Neurospora crassa OR74A: one gene and its partner. The protein of the gene in region 1 binds, or shares a complex with, the protein of each later gene. Links are inferred from orthologs where the notes say so. Each region holds a gene or a part of one and is shown on either strand. Other genes may lie near its edges. The genes, in order: NCU00927 and Bml.

Region 1 (4,342 bases):
CGAGGCGAGACTCTTGCATCTCCGCTTGCGAATTGATGAGGGAGCCGATCTGTAGCAAAAGGTTTTGCCTTTCCTCGGCCGCTTGTCTTCGCTCCTCCTCCAAAACCTCCTGAATCCGGGCTGACACAGTTGCGTTGGATTCAACAATGGTCTGACTAGCACCCTCGAGCTCTTGCCGAAGTCTTTCAGCTTCGGCTTTCTGGGCGCTAATTGTTTGCAGCAGATCCCCGAAGATGGATTTACATTCCTTCCCAAGCGAACTATACGAAGCATGTAACTGACTGTGGAAAGTAGTTAGTTCGCCCAGGACATCACCTGCAATCCGCTCAGCCGCCGAGGCAATAGCCTGGAGCGATTCTCCAACGCGCTGTTTCACGGTGTCCCGAACAACCTTGATCTCTTCCAGCACGTTGTCCATCTCCTCCTTGGACTTTTGCTTCTGCTCCAACAGCTGTGTCCTAGACTCTGCGAAATGCTCCAAGTTTTGATCGAGGAAGGCTTGGGTTGTGGACAGCTTGTCGAGCTCCTCCTGAACAAAACTTTGCATTCGCTCTGATACGCTGGAGATATGCTCCTCCTGCCCCTTGCGGAACTCCGCAATCCGACTTTCAACAAGCTCAGTAATACCTGTGACTTGCGATTGCGACATGGCCCACGTGCTACGATTGAGCGCATGTAGGTCGGATCTTCTTCTGTTCTTCGCGTGGAGCCCTTCGACATCTTGGACGGTCCGCTTGACGGTAGAGATAAGCTCATCACCCACTTTGGCAAGCTTCTGCTCGGTTGTTTGATGCGCCCTTCGGAGGTGCGCCTCCTCCGCCAACGACTTCCTGGTAGCTGCCAGCACCAGCTCGGTTTGGTCCAACACATCTTTGGTCTCGTCTAGCTGTGCTTTTGTGGCTTCGTGCTCTTTTCGAAGCCCCATGAATGTTGATGTCATCGTATACAGCTCTTGGAGCTTGTTTCGAAGGTTTGTTTCGAGGGTCTCGATTCTGGCCGCTTGTTCTTCCGTAAGGATCCGCCGCGATTCGTTTTGTACAGTCAGCTCTTCGTAAGCATCGTTCGATAGATAGACACCGTTTCGCTGACGAGTGGCAATCAGCTCGCTTTTCAGTTTCTCGATCTCGGTCGCAAACTCGCGAAGTAATGTTTTTTTGTTGAGTAGCGCGTTGATCTGCGGTTTGTTTCGAATGTTTTTAGCCCTAAAAGCATAATCAAGGGTGGATATCGTCTCCTCCATGTTACTCCTGGCCGGGGATATTGTCGCAATGATGCACGTCTTTGTCCGCCCACCTAAAGAGTCTTGGAGTAGACGTGTAAGTTTCGATTCTCTGTAAGGAATATGGGGGCTGCGGTCGACCAAGGCGTTGATGACGCGACCAAGGGTAAGCAGACTCTTGTTGATGAGGCCAGCCTCAGCAGCACGTTTGTTCTCGGCTCCAGAGCGCTGAATGTTCTCACTGCCAGCGAGATCAACCAAATTCAGCTTTCCTCCCATTAGATAATCCTCCCCATTCTCGGTTTGTTGCTTGACATGAACGGTAATGGTGAAGACGGTGTGACTACGACTGCTGAGGTCGTTGCACTTTGTCGCGGCCACCTGACGCCTCACACTGCCCTCTTGAAGCCATCTGAGGCCGTCTGCCGCGCTCAAAATGTGTCTTTCCTCCATACCTTGCACAATAGTCGTGGCATGGCCCTTTTTCGAGTTGTCGTCAAATATTTTGAGCTTTGTGTTGTCCTCTGCCGAAAGCAGATCACGCAGCTCTTCATTATAAAGTTCGATAAACGAGCATCGCACGCAGTGTTCCTTGTCATCCACTTCAAGCTTATTAAAGAGAGCATGCAGGACTCTGGGGATGATGCCTGCGGTGTCGGGAAGCATGCCAAAAGTCTGATTCATGTCGCCTGACATGGTATATGTCTTGCCTGTGCCTGTTTGGCCGTAAGCAAATATGGTGCAGTTGTAACCGGCAAGCATCTGGTTCAAGTCAGCCATGAACAGGCCCTGATCGGTTTGATAGTCCTTACCTCTTCCAGGATCGGCTTCACCACCTCGTCAAAGACCATGGCTTGGTCGGCGGCCTGCGAGAAGACGCGATCAAAGGTATACGTCTTGTTGCTCACTGCATTGGGACCCATTGATAGCTCAACTATCCTGCCTTTGAGGCCCTCCGTCTTGACAACAACGGCGCTATTTTCCTTGACTTCCCGGTCATTGCGTCCTCGACAGCGCACAACAACATTGATGTTTGTGGTGCCCTCGTCCTCCGGGTCGAAATCGCGCTCCTTACGCTTCGCACCTGCTGTTGCCGATACCTGTGAGTCTGCGGGGGAGGCGGCGCCCGATCGCTCGGCGCGAGATCCTCCCGGTGCGGAGGCATTTCGGAGGGCTGATTGTCGGCCTGTTGAAGATGCCGTGTTTCTGGTTGGGGGAGGTCGCATGCTGCTGTTGCTACGCGTCCCGGCGACGGATGGTGGACGCGACATGGATGATGGTTTTTTACGCTCCATGCTGGAGCTGCGCGATTGGACGATACTTTATCGAAGGGTCGAGGTTGCGAAATCGGGGAGAAGTTGGGCCAAAGGAGGGACGAGAAACGAAAAGATGCGAAGTGACGACTGTTGGGCTAAGGTACACAATGGGCCAGAATCAATCCAAAAAGCATTGGTGATGGTGATCGAAGAGCTGATGGCAGAGAGGGAGAGGGAGCGAGATCGTGGGTCGTTCAGTCGGCCGGTCGATGCCTTTTTCTTATGTGCGACGAGCTGGAAACCTGCGAAAGACGGCAGCGTCGTCGTGAAGAGATTGGCGTGTTAGATTCCACACGCCGTCGGGAATGAGCGACTGGACGTCGCGACCCGGCCTTTTCTTGTCGATTATGCGAGCGACTCGCCTGGGTAGGTGCCGTGGTCTTGTTGGATGGCGGGGATCACTTTTTCCAATGTTAGCGTTCGCTGCTTGCTGTTCAAGTTGGGTACTTACTTGCCTTGTGCTGCTTTGGCGCGACAGGAGGCATCAACATCAGTCTCCACTGTCCGCAATGCTGTAAGCGTATTCGGGCTATTGCTGGGGCAACCGCTTCCCGGTGCAAGTAAACTAAACGCACAGACCACTGATCTTCGACAGCCCGGAATCATCGCTGTGAGCGTCACGCTGACCGGTCAGCAAACAGCGGACAGCGGACAGCGGCCAGCACAACCTCCCCTCAATGCCCCTCTTTGTGTCCCCCCCATTCCGTCTCATCACGCCGCTCTCGTCTCCAGAGTCCAGCACTGATGTTTTATCGTACATAAGGTACCTACCTAGTGCTGGCCCCCCATCCGCCCCAGGCCTTGCCTGCCGCTTTCACCGCCGCCTGCCGTTCGCCTTCATGTGATTCGAGGTAGGTACGTTGGTACTTCTACCTACGTAATCTGGAGCAGCTGCCGATGGTCGGGGTCGCCCTCCCCCAGATCACGAGGGGACCTTGACGGACAACACCCAGCAAGCGCCGCTTCGCCAACCGATGATACAATTACCCATCAGACGACCAACGAACAACTTTCACCCTCTCATCTTTGCTTTCTTCGCTCTCTGACACAAAGTCAGTATAGCCACACACCAAGTTACAATACGAATAGATGATATCGCTCTCCGCCGTTCTCAACCGTCCGTCCTGCCACTAAGCCCACTGGATGAACGAGACTCGACGTACGAGTTCGTCCCATCTCCGTCGTTCCCATATACCACCTTAAGCGGTGTACAACCTCAAACATCTTCATCAGCACATACAAGTTTCAATATGTCGACACCTACCTCGCCGCCGATTTCTCCCCTTCTCTTCTCCGCCCAGCTTTATCCTGGCCGAGCGCTCGGCTGGTTGGTCCTTGGAGCGTCGTTGCACGATATCTTGACTCGCCTCAAGACAGAGCCCCAGCGGTTCACGAATCTCGATGTCAAGTACAGCCCAACCGAGCCGACGAAATCCATTGTCGTTATCGATCTCCCCGCAAACGGCATTCGTCTACAATTCGACGCTCCAGAGCAGCGGTTACGCTTAATCGAGGTGGTGGACTTTACCAAAAATCATATCTTTATCAAGGCCGCCGATAACAAAGAGCGTGACCTTGTTCGCCCTTCCGCAGCATCTACCCCGTCAACCGATAACCCCGCGGGCCCTACGTTCCGTCACATCTACCAGCGCTTTCTTGGTCCCACCTATGATGGCGAGTTCATTGATGGACCGAAGACGCCAGACAATGCCGTCGATCAATATGGGCTCTACGTTCTGTCATGGCCCGGTGTGGCCTTTAGTTTCCTCATGAAGAAAGCGAGCTACTCGGCCAAGAAGAACGTGGT
Region 2 (4,395 bases), on another chromosome or scaffold:
CTTGTTTTCTTGCATGGCGGGATCTTCCTTGAGCATCAGCAGCACTTCCTTATACCATTTGCATTGCTTCTGGGTTAGGTTGTGAAATGGGGAATGGAGGGAGGGAAAACAAATAAAAACGAACACACGGGGGTGGAGCAAGCGGAAGCATACCCTACGCACAGCATGGCAAAAAAAAGCCATCAACAGCAATGATCAAGTCATGAAATAGCCTCATGAACGGGTTGATCATTCTTCTAGTTAAATTAATATGTCAATGTCTATCTACAACTTTCATATTCTGATTCCGTATATGTTGGGGAGCATTCCGTGCTTGTCCAGCTCCATCCTTCTTTTGTCTCTGTCCCCTCAACTTTGTTTACATGTACACCTGACTGACAAGAAGATGGGGAAATGAAGGTCATCATCCCTGCCATCATAGGCGACAGCGAAATGTTGCATGGCTGCTGCAATGCAGTGGACCTACATATTTCTAGTGTACTGCTCAATGTAAGGTACAAGTAACGAGCGATCCTTTCGTTATTTGGGTGAATGAGATCTCCTTTTTCCCAATCCCAACTTCCGGTGTTTTGTTCGATAAATGATATGCGACCAGGTTCAGGAGAGCGGGCTCATCCTTCCCTTCTGCGGGCAGTTGGCAATCAAGGTACACTACTACCCCAAATTGCCAATCAGCAGGCCCATACAGTACCCCGTACACTACCGTAAGCTACGAAGCTTGAAGCGTGCCGAGATGGAGGGGTAGCTTGCTTCCCTTGTTCCTTTGTAAGTGGAAGTCATGGATGGCATCAACTATACTAGTGTATAATGCCGCGTCGAATTGAGGAGTTTCCATCTATGTGTCTGTTTTTCCCTGATCTCCAGCTAGGTAATTTGCAGGTCGGGCTCAACAATGGATGTGAATGTAGCCCCCTACGAGTCGCGATGCTGTTCCTGATCTCCCAAGTCTGGCCGGGCCAGTGACCGAGTCGTGCCCAAAACCAACAGCCAAATCCAATTGGAGGTTGCGACAGTTCGACAGCGGTCTCGAGCTGGCGACTTACCCCACATTGGCAGGAGCATGTGGGACCCGCCGCCCGGCTGGTTTTGCCTGCCAACTCTGCCAGCCAACCAGAAGCAGACTAGCGCGTCGCGCTGGCCCCGAGAGACAGCTGGGGGAGGTTTGTCTTTGGCGGTTTTTGGAGGTCAACGCGTGAGGAACCGAGCCAGAGTGCAGGGACCACCCAAACCGAGTCGACAGGGGGCCTTCCACCCTTCCAAAAGTTTGACAGTGCCTGATGTCCCCACTTTGGCAAGCGCCCCGGCAACCCAGCAGCAGCCCGGCGAGCGGCGGCGGCGGTGAACGAGAAGCTGGTGCTGGCCGGCTGTGGCCCGCTCATTTCTTGCACCAAAAATCAACAAATCTCCCTTTCCACTCCCAAGACTTCCCAGTCTCCCCTAGGCCAGACATCAAACCTCTCCACTTTCACCGACCTCCGTCGTCTTCGTCTATCCGCGTCGGCTTTATCACCACTTCCATCTTTTTGCTCTTCCATCTTTCTGCCTTCAACCTCCACATAGACCCGTGTTCGTCATCACCAAACCGTCAAGATGCGTGAAATTGTAAGTCTCCCTCTGATGCCTACTGTGCCGCGCACGCAGAGCAATCCCTCTTTTTTTTCTCTTTCCCTCCCAAGAGACCCCTGATTGCTCTACCCCACCAAACTGCCTCGTCCCCTTCTGTGCCTCTACCTACTGCTGCCCGACTCATTATGATCCTGCTCGCTTTCTCGCCATCGCGGACTGCCATCTATCGCGAGTATTATGGACATCGACGCTGACACGATTTCTTCACGTGCTATAGGTTCATCTCCAAACCGGCCAATGCGTAAGTCGATGATGGCTTCCACCCCCGTCGCGATCCAACAACAACAGCAGGACTAACACAACAGCCACGATCAGGGTAACCAAATCGGTGCTGCTTTCTGGTACGTCGTCATCATCGCGAACAACCACACCTTTGAGCGAGGGAGCCCGACGCTGACAGAATAAACAGGCAGACTATCTCCGGCGAGCACGGCCTCGATGCCTCCGGTGTGTACGTAACCTCGTGCCCAATAACCATATCTGGTGATGGCCTCGAAAGCTCACCGCCCACTACAGGTACAATGGCACCTCTGAGCTCCAGCTCGAGCGCATGAACGTCTACTTCAACGAGGTGAGCAACAACCGGTCTCGACGATCTCCCCCTCCTCGAGAATTCGCTCGCTAACTAGCTTCGCGCTTGACAGGCTTCCGGCAACAAGTATGTCCCTCGTGCCGTCCTCGTCGATCTCGAGCCCGGTACCATGGACGCCGTTCGCGCCGGTCCCTTCGGCCAGCTCTTCCGCCCCGATAACTTCGTCTTCGGCCAGTCCGGTGCTGGCAACAACTGGGCCAAGGGTCACTACACTGAGGGTGCTGAGCTTGTTGACCAGGTTCTCGATGTCGTCCGTCGCGAGGCTGAGGGCTGCGACTGCCTCCAGGGCTTCCAGATCACCCACTCCCTCGGTGGTGGTACCGGTGCCGGTATGGGTACCCTCCTTATCTCCAAGATTCGTGAGGAGTTCCCCGACCGCATGATGGCTACCTTCTCCGTCGTGCCCTCCCCCAAGGTCTCCGATACCGTTGTCGAGCCCTACAACGCCACCCTCTCCGTCCATCAGCTCGTTGAGAACTCCGACGAGACCTTCTGCATTGACAACGAGGCGCTTTACGACATTTGCATGAGGACCCTCAAGCTCTCCAACCCCTCTTACGGCGATCTTAACCACCTCGTCTCCGCCGTCATGTCCGGTGTCACCGTCTCCCTCCGTTTCCCCGGCCAGCTGAACTCCGATCTCCGCAAGCTCGCCGTCAACATGGTTCCCTTCCCCCGTCTCCACTTCTTCATGGTCGGCTTCGCTCCCCTTACCAGCCGCGGCGCCCACCACTTCCGTGCCGTCTCCGTGCCCGAGTTGACCCAGCAGATGTTCGACCCCAAGAACATGATGGCTGCTTCTGACTTCCGCAACGGTCGTTACCTCACCTGCTCTGCCATCTTGTAAGTTGCTGATCATGGAATGCTGCTTTTGACCACTAATACTGACGAATCAAACAGCCGTGGCAAGGTCTCCATGAAGGAGGTTGAGGACCAGATGCGCAACGTTCAGAACAAGAACTCTTCCTACTTCGTCGAGTGGATCCCCAACAACGTCCAGACTGCCCTCTGCTCTATCCCTCCCCGCGGTCTCAAGATGTCCTCCACCTTCGTCGGTAACTCCACCGCCATCCAGGAGCTCTTCAAGCGTATCGGCGAGCAGTTCACTGCCATGTTCAGGCGCAAGGCTTTCTTGCATTGGTACACTGGTGAGGGTATGGACGAGATGGAGTTCACTGAGGCTGAGTCCAACATGAACGATCTCGTCTCCGAGTACCAGCAGTACCAGGATGCTGGTGTTGACGAGGAGGAGGAGGAGTACGAGGAGGAGGCCCCCCTTGAGGGCGAGGAGTAAATCATTCCACTCAACATTCAGGCTCCTCTGCGCACGTAAAGTGCCAAAGGCAATACCCTGCTCGGTGGAATGCCGCCGGGCTTGTCGATTTTACGCACATATGCGCATTCTTGACTTGAAGCGGAGGAGTTCTTCGTTGCGGGTTACAGTGTTTTAATAAAAGAATGGTCAAATCAAACTGCTAGATATACCTGTCAGACACTCTAGTTGTTGACCCCTATACTCTTAATACATCAGACAGTACATGCATGTTGCATGATGATGATAATGTCTGTTTAGATTCCAAGTGTCTACTGCTGGCCAAGCTTTCTCTCTACGCACTCTGTAACTATGGGAGCGTGAGATGTATCAAGAGTCCTTAGTTTTGGGGGACTATGTCTGTGTTGTGCGGTATACTTGTAACTAGCTTGCGGAAGATGCGACAGATCTACGTAGATCAGGGATTATCATAATTATCCCTGACATAATAGCTGTTACGCGGCAGCGGCGAAAAGGCAGTCGGTGACTTTTAGATACTCAAATGTTCGCCCACTTTTTCATGTGCGTTGAGTCATGTAATGTAACCAAGGAAGGGCGAGAACCAGACATGGTCAACAGAGTCAGTGATAAGATTCCCAGCTTCTCGCAGTGAGTATTTTGCAAGACCGAAAGCCACAACAGAACACCAAGTCCAAGTGAACTGTCTTACAAGCCCATTATGGAAAGTCTCCATTTACCCAACTGCCTAGGTAGTACTGAGCACTTGACTTCAGATAGGATGTGGAAAGCGCAGTTAGGTGTGAAAGTTCAACTGACTGCTGTGATAGGTAGAATGGTCGGGCAATTGAGGGATTCTATAGTGTTTGGTGGGTATACGCAGTCAAAACTCATGTCAAGGAGAATA

Evidence for each region.
Region 2: the proteins of NCU00927 (region 1) and Bml are in contact, whole or in part, in a cryo-EM structure (PDB 6S8M), measured with the Schizosaccharomyces pombe proteins. The link is inferred for Neurospora crassa OR74A from reciprocal best matches to the Schizosaccharomyces pombe genes cut7 and nda3. Residues at the interface, in NP_594527.1 of Schizosaccharomyces pombe: Glu217, Arg233, Val234, Phe235, Glu236, Arg345, Gln352, Arg359, Ala368, His369, His370, Pro372, Arg374, Glu375, Ser376, Arg380; in NP_596650.1 of Schizosaccharomyces pombe: Pro160, Asp161, His190, Gln191, Glu194, Asn195, Phe260, Pro261, Arg262, Met406, Glu410, Ser413, Asp417, Ser420, Glu421, Gln424.

What each region holds. Positions count from the first base shown.
Region 1 is NC_026501.1:6,696,638-6,700,979, reverse strand, and holds the start of NCU00927 (kinesin), read right to left. Parts: upstream 2,992-4,342; 5' UTR 2,515-2,991; coding exon 2,032-2,514; intron 1,982-2,031; coding exon 1-1,981. Other genes in the region: NCU00928 (UPF0183 domain-containing protein), read left to right, coding at 3,786-4,342. UniProt on the Schizosaccharomyces pombe protein: Could be a spindle pole body motor. On transition from G2 to M phase of the cell cycle, the spindle pole body duplicates; the daughter pole bodies seed microtubules which interdigitate to form a short spindle that elongates to span the nucleus at metaphase.
Region 2 is NC_026506.1:2,581,476-2,585,870, forward strand, and holds Bml (tubulin beta chain), read left to right. Parts: upstream 1-1,389; 5' UTR 1,390-1,590; coding exon 1,591-1,602; intron 1,603-1,843; coding exon 1,844-1,867; intron 1,868-1,941; coding exon 1,942-1,967; intron 1,968-2,035; coding exon 2,036-2,077; intron 2,078-2,142; coding exon 2,143-2,197; intron 2,198-2,270; coding exon 2,271-3,061; intron 3,062-3,118; coding exon 3,119-3,512; 3' UTR 3,513-4,040; downstream 4,041-4,395. UniProt on the Schizosaccharomyces pombe protein: Tubulin is the major constituent of microtubules, a cylinder consisting of laterally associated linear protofilaments composed of alpha- and beta-tubulin heterodimers.